2 separate regions of the Mus musculus genome follow, and region 2 is reported to be linked to region 1. The links are microRNA targets in miRTarBase. Many come from high-throughput screens and were not tested one by one. Region 1 holds a microRNA gene; the other region holds the end of a gene's coding sequence.
The links. Region 1 holds the annotated microRNA mmu-miR-7211-5p (UCUUUCCCUCUGCCACUCCACC, at 3,783-3,804, opposite strand). A microRNA usually pairs through its seed, bases 2 to 8, with sites in the 3' UTR of a target mRNA and lowers its output. Matches are read on the target gene's strand: a 7mer-m8 pairs with bases 2 to 8, a 7mer-A1 pairs with bases 2 to 7 and ends in A, and an 8mer does both.

Region 2: the mRNA of Xylt2 is a reported target of mmu-miR-7211-5p. The part of its 3' UTR that is shown has no 7-base or 8-base seed match.

Annotation. Positions count from the first base shown.
Region 1 is chr10:94,582,396-94,587,766 of GRCm38, forward strand. Mir7211 (microRNA 7211) reads right to left here and starts at 3,804; the gene lies at 3,742-3,804. Tmcc3 (transmembrane and coiled coil domains 3) reads left to right here. Exons shown (of 4, transcript NM_172051.3): 3 at 1-14; 4 at 4,333-5,371. The coding sequence ends at 4,635.
Region 2 is chr11:94,659,688-94,665,001 of GRCm38, reverse strand. Xylt2 (xylosyltransferase II) reads left to right here. Exons shown (of 11, transcript NM_145828.3): 11 at 93-1,155. The coding sequence ends at 415. It overlaps Mrpl27 (mitochondrial ribosomal protein L27), which reads right to left. Exons shown (of 4, transcript NM_053161.2): 4 at 4,915-5,314. The coding sequence ends at 5,187. Among named protein-coding and RNA genes, the nearest start is that of Mrpl27, 8.6 kb to the right of the region's middle.

The DNA.
Region 1 (5,371 bases):
CAAGGGACATCCAGGTATGGGTCCCCTCCTGGGCAGACCCCGGTGTAGGATTTTTCCAGGCTTTAATTCATTCAACAGCCTAACCCAGTACACTTCCCCAAGCATTCCGTCATGAGGGGCAAGATGTTCATTCTCTCTACATAGATATTTCCCATCCACCCCTTGGCCCTGTTGGCTTATGTTCCCTCTGTTACCCGGTTGCCTAACTAGTGGCTATACCACTAACCTAATTTCAAAAACTCCAAAACATTAAGAAACGTCACCTGTTAGGCAGCCTGCCTTCAGGAAGCTTCTTGCAGAGGCTGGAGTAGTCTAACGGTATACCAGATGGCTCTAGCAAGGACGCTACAGTGCCCCAGAAATCCAGTCCAGCTATGCTTGCTGGCCGGGATAGGAGCAGGGAGCAGGGGCTAGCACTCGGACATTTCCTGGTAAATTTTGGTTTCGAGTCTATTATTTACCAACTGTTTGGCTCTGAGCAAGCCTTGAGTCTGCTTATCTATAAAGCAATTGCTTCGTATCTGTGAAATCGCCGAGCATGACTGCCAGCCCCTACTAAACCACTGTACTTGGTACTTACTCAATAGCCCTTTGTAATCGCTCTTATTGTTGGTCCTGTTTCTCAGATCTGGAGACTGAGGTACAAAAAGGTGAAGTGACCTGTACAAGGCCTTGCAAATTGTCCCTTAGGAGTGACTAAGAAGGCGGAACTGAAAGGGAAAGGCAAGGCCCAGAAGGTTAGCAGGAACAGATGTGTAGATCCATGTAACAGTTATGTCACAAACAAAAGCCAGTGCTGAACTTGCTCCTGAGGTCCCCAGGCTGCTATGGAAGAGCCCTAGGCTTCTTGGTCACCTTTTGAAAGAAATCATAACAATAACCAAAATCAGTAATGCCCTTTTTCATATCTTCTCTGTAGTCGGTGGGAACTTTCTGAGCTTAAGAAAGGCTATCCACGCCCTGAACCCCACTTTACAAGGCAGTAGGCTGAAGCATCAGAGCACTTTCTCCCTGGGGCGCATGCTGCAGTTCCGCTGCAAGCATTTTGTTCTGCACCGGTGGAGTCTGGGTTTGCTGATGCCAGAGGTCTATTCAGACAGTTCTGGGAAGCAGGGCTTTAGCACTGATGGGAAACATTGTCCCCAGAGAGCAGAGGACACTGGGAAACTACTCTCTGTTCCCTGGGTGAGGAGCCTCAGAGTCTCCACTGACTGACCTGGGAGACAGAACTCTCATCTGTTAAGTGATTCTATATAGAACATTTTTTATTATACTTACGTGTGTGTGTGTGTGTGTGTGTGTGTGTGTGTGCATGCGCGAACACGCATGCATGTCACAGCATCATGTCACACATGATGACTGGAGAACAGGAGTCATGTCCCTTCTTTCTACCTTGTGGGTCCCAGGAATCAAAATCCAGACTTGGCAGCAAGTGCTTTACCCACTGAGCCATCCCACCTGCCCTTGGCCGTCCTATCTTAGAACAGGTCTAGGATATCACCGGGTGGTGTCTAAACACACTGTTTCCTCTTTTAGGGGATGGTTTAGATTAACATTGTTCTCTGCTCTTTAAGAAACATATTCTGGGAGCAAGGAGGTCAGATCAAGGGAGGGCCCCCACAAAAGGAACTTGAACTTCTGAGGAGTTCATTTCCACGGTTTTTCTTCAGCTGCACCTCTAGTCAGAGCTATGAAGAGCAGCTCTGTCAATGACAGAGGTCACGGAGGTTCAAAGCTGGCTCTACCACTCTGTCTCTGTGTGAACCTGGCTAAGTCAGTGCTGAGCGCCTCCGACTCCTCGTCTTCAAACAGTCAAGCAGATCAAATAGAATCAGATATTTGTTGTACCAGGGTCTTCTTCGCCAGACTCATAATAAACAGCCAAGAAGTTAATGCCGGGGTCCCTTTTATCTTATTGTTAAATAGCAACATTCCTCAAGGCTCTTAGCCATTGATCTCTCTGGTCCCCATGTCTGTGGTTCTGGGAAGTGAGCTTCCAATGGGATAGGCTGGCATGCTGCACGTAGCAAGGGCCCACAGACCCACAGTTTTTGCTGTTAAGTGACCGATCCCCCTCATCCTCTTTAAAATCCTGAATATCCAGTTTAAACTACTAAAGATAACCCCGCCCTCTATGTTCATATAAAACAAGTTAAACACTCAACCAAAGAAATCCTAATTATCATGGGGCAAAATCTCTCCATGTCATGGGCGAAATGCCTTAACAATTCACTACCTGATTTTCTTAGATTTTTCTTTGAGTAAGACATCGGTAGCAGTTCTAATGTGAATTCTAAGATGAGCCTAAGGAGATGTGGACCTCTCTACCCTAAAACTGAGTGAAAGGGCCAAACATGACAGTCCTTTGTCTTGATCTGTCACCCTTTTCACGCCATATCTAAAACGGAAAGGGGAAAAAAAAATCCCGGGCCCCATAGCTGAAAGCCAGCCCGCCCTTCTGCACTTGCCTGTTAGTGCCGGCAGCCAGCAGCGCTTAAATGTGAAGATCTGAGAAAGTTTTATCCTTTGGTCGGCAGCCTAGTATAATGAAAGTTGCTATAGTAACAGAGAACCCTGTTCTTTAGCCAAGCGAGTATATTCAGCGGGAGAGAAGCAAATCAATGTTGGAGCCATTACACCCGCTTAAAGCCTGGAAAGGTGACCGCACGCAGCTGCACAAGCACATTGGCAAATGATTGCCACAACAGACTGGTGGAGGAGCAGGCACGTCGCACTGCCTCCCAGGAGGCGTGGGCTCTTCCTCTTCGAGCTGACATTCCTGTTACTGGCACCCTGGCTCTCCAGCCACCTGCTGCGTGCAGCACTGCTGTTCTGAAGTGGACAATGAGGGCTGGATGAGCCTCGTGCCTGACCGCATGCAACTTAGGCGCCTCTCAGCTGTGCAGGAAGGCTGACTAGAGACAAGATGGGTCAGGGAGGGCTTCCTTCGGGGAATGTCTGTAAGGATGAGACCTCAGACGTGTGGCAGATCCACTGGTGAAGAGAGGGGTGCTTAAGAGTTTCCGGCAGTGGGTACTGCACAAAGTCCCCCAGGCATTTTTTGGAACCTGGAAAGGGTCAGTTTGGGCAGAGCAGTGGATGAAGGCAGGATAAGATGGCTGCACACAGACCAAGCAAGATTCCGAAAGGTCTTTTATGAAGAGGGATGTCAGAAATGTATATCTTTCAAAAGTCACATGGACTGTGGCAGGGAATATGGATTATGGAACACACCATGTGAAATTCAAATCACAGCAAGCAAGAGGTCCCGGCGATCCCTAGTGAGTGGGGACTGCAAGAGAGGTTAATATTGATTAAGATGGACAGTGCCGGCTGCATCGGCAGAGCCAGCTGATGGCTGGACAAGAGACATGTCAAAGGATGCTTTGGGGTTTCTGTCATAAGAGGCCTAAGTGGTGTTCTAAGAGAAAGAGTTGGGGGTGTGAGGACACAGGGTCACTGCTTGCAGGGCAAGGTACACTCCATAAACATACTCGTGACTGAGCTGCACAGGGGCGTTTTCCAAAAGCTCTGTAGATGTGCAAGTCAGCCTCCGAGGAAATAGCCAGGCTGGGTAATCTACTCCGAGTCACCCATGTGATGTCGCTTTAGGAAGTGAAGCATCAGGTTGCACTGGGCCTGGAGAGACAGCTTGGGCTGCTGCTGACTTAAGGAATAGATTCACAAGGCTGATTGAAGCAGAGCGGCCTGCTGTTGGTCCAGTCGTTCCCCTTAGCATCTGCATCCTCCCTACAGTCACTCCACAGACACAAGCTCCCAGCGGTGGAGTGGCAGAGGGAAAGAGCAGATACCATGGATAAGGGTTGAGCAGCCTGCATCCCAGAACACAGATCCAGCTCCGCCCCTTTTCAGTCCCCTCCTGACAGGGCCAGCAGACACCGGTGTTTCATGTCACCTCTTCTCAAGTACAAATACATTGAGAAATGAGCCCTTATGACCGGGTATGATGCTATTTGACTGTGACCCCAAATCTCAGCACTTGGGAAGGTTGAGGTAGGAGAATTGGAAGTTTAAGGCCAGATTGGGCTACTTCACAAGAGACCTTGTCGCCAAAAAAACAAACAAAAACAGTAAACAAATAAACAAAAGTAGACCACCGTAACTCCTCCCTTATGGTGTTTTATGGTTGAATACATGTAGGAGTCTTGGGATTCCTGCCTTATGACTTCCTCTCTCACCGTTGGTTTGGGGATTTGAATCTGCTGAGGCAGTAGATGCTCTGAGCTGGAGCTTGGGGCACATCTGGGCACGTGTTCCCGCAAGGCCTGTGATTCCAGCTACGTCTGACCCTTGCTCTCCTCTCGCCCGCAGGAAGCCTTGGAATCTTGCCAGACCCGCATCTCTAAGCTCGAGCTGCATCAGCAGGAACAGCAGACCCTGCAGACGGATGCCGTGAACGCCAAGGTCCTGCTGGGGAAGTGCATCAACGTGGTTCTGGCCTTCATGACGGTCATCCTGGTGTGTGTGTCCACCCTGGCCAAGTTTGTCTCGCCCATGATGAAGAGCCGCTCCCACATCCTTGGCACCTTCTTTGCTGTGACTCTTCTCGCCATATTCTGTAAAAACTGGGACCATATCTTGTGTGCCATAGAAAGGATAATCATCCCGAGATGAGCCGCTGCTTCCTGCCTTCACATCCTCTTAAAGATTTTATTTTGAAGAAAACCCTGTGCATACTACCAAAATTTCTGAATGGACGGCTGTGCCAAAGACGGCGCGAGAGGGACCAGAGCTACGTGCGGTGTAAATAAGTAGAGACTCTTAACCCAGTAGCAGATGCCAACACTGTCCCTGTATGTGGTTAACGTGAAACTGTCCCAGAGTCCTCCTCAAGGGGCTCACTGCCTTAATCAGAGCCGATCTCGAGCCCACCTGTTGAGCTCAGCACAGCAAAGCCCTTGTTCTTTGGGCGCCATGATTGCTAACTGCTGTGTTCTGAGTTCCCCCTGACCAGCAAGAATATGGCTAGGACTTGGGGAAGTGAGCAAACAGGAACTGGCAGGGTTGAGCTCCTGGGGGCCTATGGAAGCTCAGTGAGTCTCTCTGTGATCTCTCCTACTTGTCCATGGGTGGCTCTGTGCCCTACTATGTACCCAGTGTTCACAGCGGTCAATGGTGTATGTCCTCATAACGTGGGAATCTTCTACCTGCTTATCCAGCCGTAGTAGTGCACTTTACAAGGTAGACACTGGGATTTACAGCCAGGCTTTCCTCTTATGCCCAGAGCACCACACACCTGATTCCATCTTGCGTGGTTAGCAGTGCTCTGCCCTCAGAGCATTCGGCTGGGCTGTTGTCAAACTGTAGCTTGGGTAACTCAGGGTCCTGCGAGCATCCCTGGGGAGGCAGT
Region 2 (5,314 bases), not on the chromosome of region 1:
ACTGTGTTCAGCCCTGACTCCCATGGGACTGCGGGACTACTGGTCCCCATGGGACCGCGGGACCTGCTTAACTGCTTGTTCTGTACCCCCAGATGATGCCAGCTGGCTGCATGCGGGACCACCCCACAACGAATACATGGAGCAGAGTTTCCAGGGCCTAAGTGGCATCCTGAATCTGCCTCAGGCAGAGGCCCTGGAGGAGGCTGCCCGGAGGCACACAGAGCTCACGGGTTCTGCACTTGAGGCCTGGACAGATGGGGAACTGAGCAATTTCTGGTCTGTGGCAGGATTGTGTGCCATAGGACCTTCTGCTTGTCCCTCCCTGGAGCTCTGCAGACTGACCAGCTGGAGCTCTCTGTCTCCTGACCCCAAGTCAGAGCTGGGGCCTGTCAAAGCTGACGGGCGACTCAGGTAGCAGGACCCCAGCCAGCACAACCCGGAGGAGCCGGGGAATTGCACCTTACAGACAACGGAGGGACATCTCTCCCACAGACAAGAACCAGAGGCCCAGGCAGTTTGCCCATTTGAGCCAACAGGAACCTACACTGAGGGCAGGGAAGGTGGGTGCAGTACTCCCTACTGCTAACGGCCCTGCAAGAGACCAGCGGTCCACTGGAGCCATGAGGAGGATCTTCCTCTGCTCCTCGTTAGTTTATACTTTTTTAATAATTAAAATGAGTGGCAGAGGGAGGACGATGTGCAATAGGGCTCAGAGCAGCCCCAGGATATGGGCCATGGCCATGGGGAGCACCACAGAGCATATCGGTTTCTGCTCTGGGGAGGCATGGGCTGCCTCCCTCTCCAGAGCCTCCATCCCCAGCCTGCATCTGAACTGCGCACTGCTGAGGCTCTGAGGCCCGGAGGACAGGTGATCTGTGGGGGCTACTGTGGAGTTGGACTTTAGTGAGCAGGCCTCTCCTCTGGGAGCCAGGGAGCCCTAGAGCAGAGCTGGGGCCGGCTCTCGGGCTTCCCTAGGAAATGCGCGCCATCAGGGCCTGCTGAGATCCATGAAGTTTCCCTACTGGAGGAGGAAGCCCACTGGCGGCACAGGAAGGCTGTCTGTCAGAGCTCTCACAAGAGTCGAGTTGTGCCTGAAGCTCAGTGCGAAGTCTGAAATATGCAACAGAGGAAATATATCTCTATCTCTCCAAGCTCAATGTCCTTGTTTGCTTCCTGCTGCTATGACAAAGACCATGACCAAAGGCACGTGCACGGAAGGGTTTGCTTCGTCTTACAGCCTATAGTCCATCATAAGGAGAAGCCAGGGCAGGGACTCGGGAGGCACTAAACACAGGCCATAGCTAATGCTTTTTGGCTTGCTCCCCGGGCTCATGTTGTGGGACCCTCCCACAACAGTCGTTAATGGAGGCATTTTCTCCACTGAGGTACCTTCCCAGATGATCCCGGCTTGTATCAAGTTGACAAACCAGGTGGCAAACTGAGGGCTCGTGTTTTCCACTGTAGGTGAGGGAGCGGTGGCTGACCCCTGGATTTCTAGAAGTTCTGATAGGCTTGAAATAGTAACAGTCCCTGTAGCAGGAACTGTTGAAAAATCCAACCAGAAGCCAGACAGCTTTGCAGTGGAGGCTTCTTTCTGCAGGGAAAATGGGGCCTGGGAGGCTTAAAATCCTCGTTGCTACCCAGCAGGCCAGCATTAGCTGTGGGTCTAAAAAGCCCCACCTGGCCCTCCACTGCTGCCACTGGGCCAGACTGCAGTAAATGATAGCTTAGGGGCCTTCGGCATCACCGAGGCCCCTCCCCAAGGCTACATACATCTTTCTCGCTACCTAAGTCTTGCCTTTGTAGCCTGCTCAGGAGAGGCTCTTGTGGTTATGGCCTACTGGTTAGTTCTGTAGGCTTCCCTTTATGGCCCTAGGACCTGAGTGAATGGTGCCTAAGTTCCTGCTGCCTTCCCATCTGATTCTCTTCTTGTTGTAAGGAAGGGCTCAGCATTAGTTCTTCATGCCTCACATAATGTGGGAGTAGGGATGGAGGTTTCTGGACCTCTAAGATCATGTCATCAGCTGCCACACTGGGCAAGGCTCAGTTTAGCTCAGGGAGTACAGTACGTTAGCTGATGGCTGCGCGAGGTGTAGCGATCTCCCAGTTGCCAGGAGGGCGCTCCTGACCACCAACAAACAGCACTAGGGTGGGTGGTTTTGCAGGTTGGGACTGCCAGTCTTCAGGTAGCAAGTCCCGACTGAGAGCTGGAAAATGAGCCCTAGGGTCAGAGCCCCTGATGCTCTTCGGAAGGGGTGGAGGCCTCCAGGGCCATTCTGTAGCTGCACTCTGCAGTTCTCACAGGGTGTGGCTGGCCAGTCAGGAAGTGCTAAGGGAAGGAGCACACAAGGTGTTTTGTCCAGAGAAGATGCTTGCTTTCTGTCACCCACTTTAATGAACATTTGATGCTAGCTCTCCAGGTGGTTAGGGTGGGTGGCTCCTCCCCCCCAACCCCCTTCTTATTTATTTGTTCTGGTAGGTTTTTTGGTGGTGGTGGTGGTGGTGGTGGGTTTTTTGTTTTTGTTGTTTTGTTTGAGACACGGTTTCTCTGTGTAGCCCTGGCTGTCCTGGAACTCGCTCTGTAGACCAGGTTGACCTCGAACTTAGAGCTCTATCTGCCTCTGCCCCCCCCCAAGTGCTGGGATTAAAGGCGTGTGCCACCACTGGCGCTTTGTTTTAATTTACCAATATCAACTCTTATGTCAGGTACAGAAACTTACCAGCTGGATTCAGCAGATGAGCTACAGGCGGTAAACCATGATAGACTGCATCGGAGACTGCATTGTAGCGGCCACACCCGGGCCCACTTAAGCAGCCCACAGCACAGTAGTTCTGAGTACTGGGTTTTGTTTTTTTTTTTTTTGTTTTTTTTAAACAAACAGATTTATTTATTTATTTATTTTATGTAAGTACACTGTAGCTGTCTTCAGACACTCCAGAAGAGGGAGTCAGATCACATTACAGATGGTTGTGAGCCACCATGTGGTTGCTGGGATTTGAACTCCGGACCTTCAGAAGAGCAGTCGGGTGCTCTTACCCACTGAGCCATCTCACCAGCCCCGGGTTTTGTTTTTTAATGTACACACTTAATGTATGTGCTGGGGGAGTGCACACACCAATGTGCACACATGCAGAGGCCAGAGGACAATGCCAGGATCCCACTCTATCAGTTTCTGCCTTATCCTTTGAGACCAGATCTCTTATTGAAGCTACAGCTTGGAGTCTTTTAGCTGGGCTGACCAGCCTGAAAACCTCAGGGAGCCTGTCTCTGGCTCCCAGCATTGGGCTACAGCTGCTCTTGGTTTTTTGTTCATAGGTGCTGACCAAACGGCCCCATCTTCTGGCCTAACAGAAGCAACTGTTCCTTAGGGAAGGGGCCTTTGAGATAGCCCAGGTTCCCTCTAGCTCAGAGCTGCAGTAGGAAATGTTTGCAGCATCCTGGCCAGGCCCCTCCCTTACATTGGTAAACAAACTGCTGGAGAACCCTCCTTGAAGACAAAGGTCTCTTCCTAGCTCTCCAGCCCCAGGGAGGAAAGCCAGAGCAGGTTTCTATGGACTGGAGGGGGCAACTCCAGCACTGCTAGGCCTCTCCTGAGGGACAGGGACAGGGCATCACACAGCAGATATGCAGGAAGCAAAAATAAAGTTGAGCTGCAGCCCTAGACTCTCAACTCCCAACTCTGAGCACCAGACAGAGGATGGAGGGTGAGGACAGAAAATGCTGTTCAGACTGACCGTCCAAAGGCCATCAGAGCTGTGGGGAGCAGATGGAGCCAATGGCCAGAAAGGAACACACTCTCTTCCTCACCTAAGTGCTTCCCAGACATGCTGAGGGCTGTTAGAAGAAACAGGAGTGAGCAGATGGGTACTGGGGTGAAGTGATAGGACTCTGCTCCCCTAGAGGCTAAGCCTGTATCCCAGGCTTGCATTGGATCCTAAGACTGAGCTCCTCCCTATCTCGACCAATGGGCCACCTACACAGGTTCATCCAGGGAAATGAGCAGACATGTAAATGAGGATCCTTGCACTGCTGTCTCTAAGTGGGGGATGAAGTATGTGTTAGCATCCTGCAGCCAGGCAAGGGGTCTGATGTGGCTAGAAGGCAGTGGAGGGAGAGATGTCAGAAGCTTGTAGAAGCAGGAGCAAGGTAGGTTGGGCCACAGACCCATCAGTAGGAGCAAAGGAAGCTGGGTAGCAGTGGTGCAAGACTTCCTTGCTCTGCTTTTCTTGGTCATAACGGTGTCCCCAGAGAGGTAGCCTGTATGAGGCTGCCCAGGACCCACCAGTAAACCCTGTGGCAGTAGGCTTGTGTGCCCAACTGTTGGACAAAACCACTGGGGCAGATTTCCCCAGCTGACTGTGTAGTGCTGTGTAGAGTGTGGGGCCCTCTAAGCCTTGGGTGCCCTGCAGAACTCAGCTTTTCCCATATAACTTTTTTTGTTTTTGTTTTGTTTTTTTTCGAGACAGGGTTTCTCTGTGTAGCCCTGGCTGTCCTGGAACTCACTTTGTAGACCAGGCTGGCCTCGAACTCAGAAATCCGCCTGCCTCTGCCTCCCGAGTGCTGGGATTAAAAGCGTGCGCCACCACGCCTGGCAACCCCATATAACTCTTATATGGTGTCTGTTAGTGCCCTTGGGCAGGACAAGGAAAAGGCTACAAAGCCCTTAGGTACTTTTGCCTCTGTGGATAGACCCCAGACCAGGAAAGCCTTCGAGGGACCGGCAATGGGTGACCCTGAAGAGCAGTGTGAAGGGTATGTGTACATGGGGATGGGGAGAGGGCTAAAACCTTTGCCTTCTAATTCCTTCAACTGCCACCAAGCTATGAGCCCTCAAGGACACTGCTGCACTTCTATCCAACGGTTGCTTGCCTACCCCTCAGGAAGCAGCCACCTGTCCTGTCCCTTTCCATCTCTCTTTTTTAAAATATTTATTTATTTTGTTTATACGCATACATTGTTGCTGTCTTCAGACACACAAGAAGAGATTATAGATGGTTGTGAGCCACCATGTGGTTGTTGGGAATTGAACTCAGGACCTCTGGAAGAGCAGTCAGTGCTCTTAACTGCTGAGCCATCTCTCCAGCCTCTTCTGTGGAGATTTTGTTCTCACCCAGACCCTTGACTTCCATCATCACTGTTCCTGTGACCTGGGCTCCAGGCTCCATCCAATGGTCTCAACAGGACTTCAAAGCATGTCCACTAGTTTGAAGGTTCCCTCAGGTTTGGCAGGAACCACGTGGACAAAAGTCTTGTAGAGCACAGCACCCTTGGGCAGACTAGTGACCAGATCCACAGCCTCCGTGTTTTTGGGAT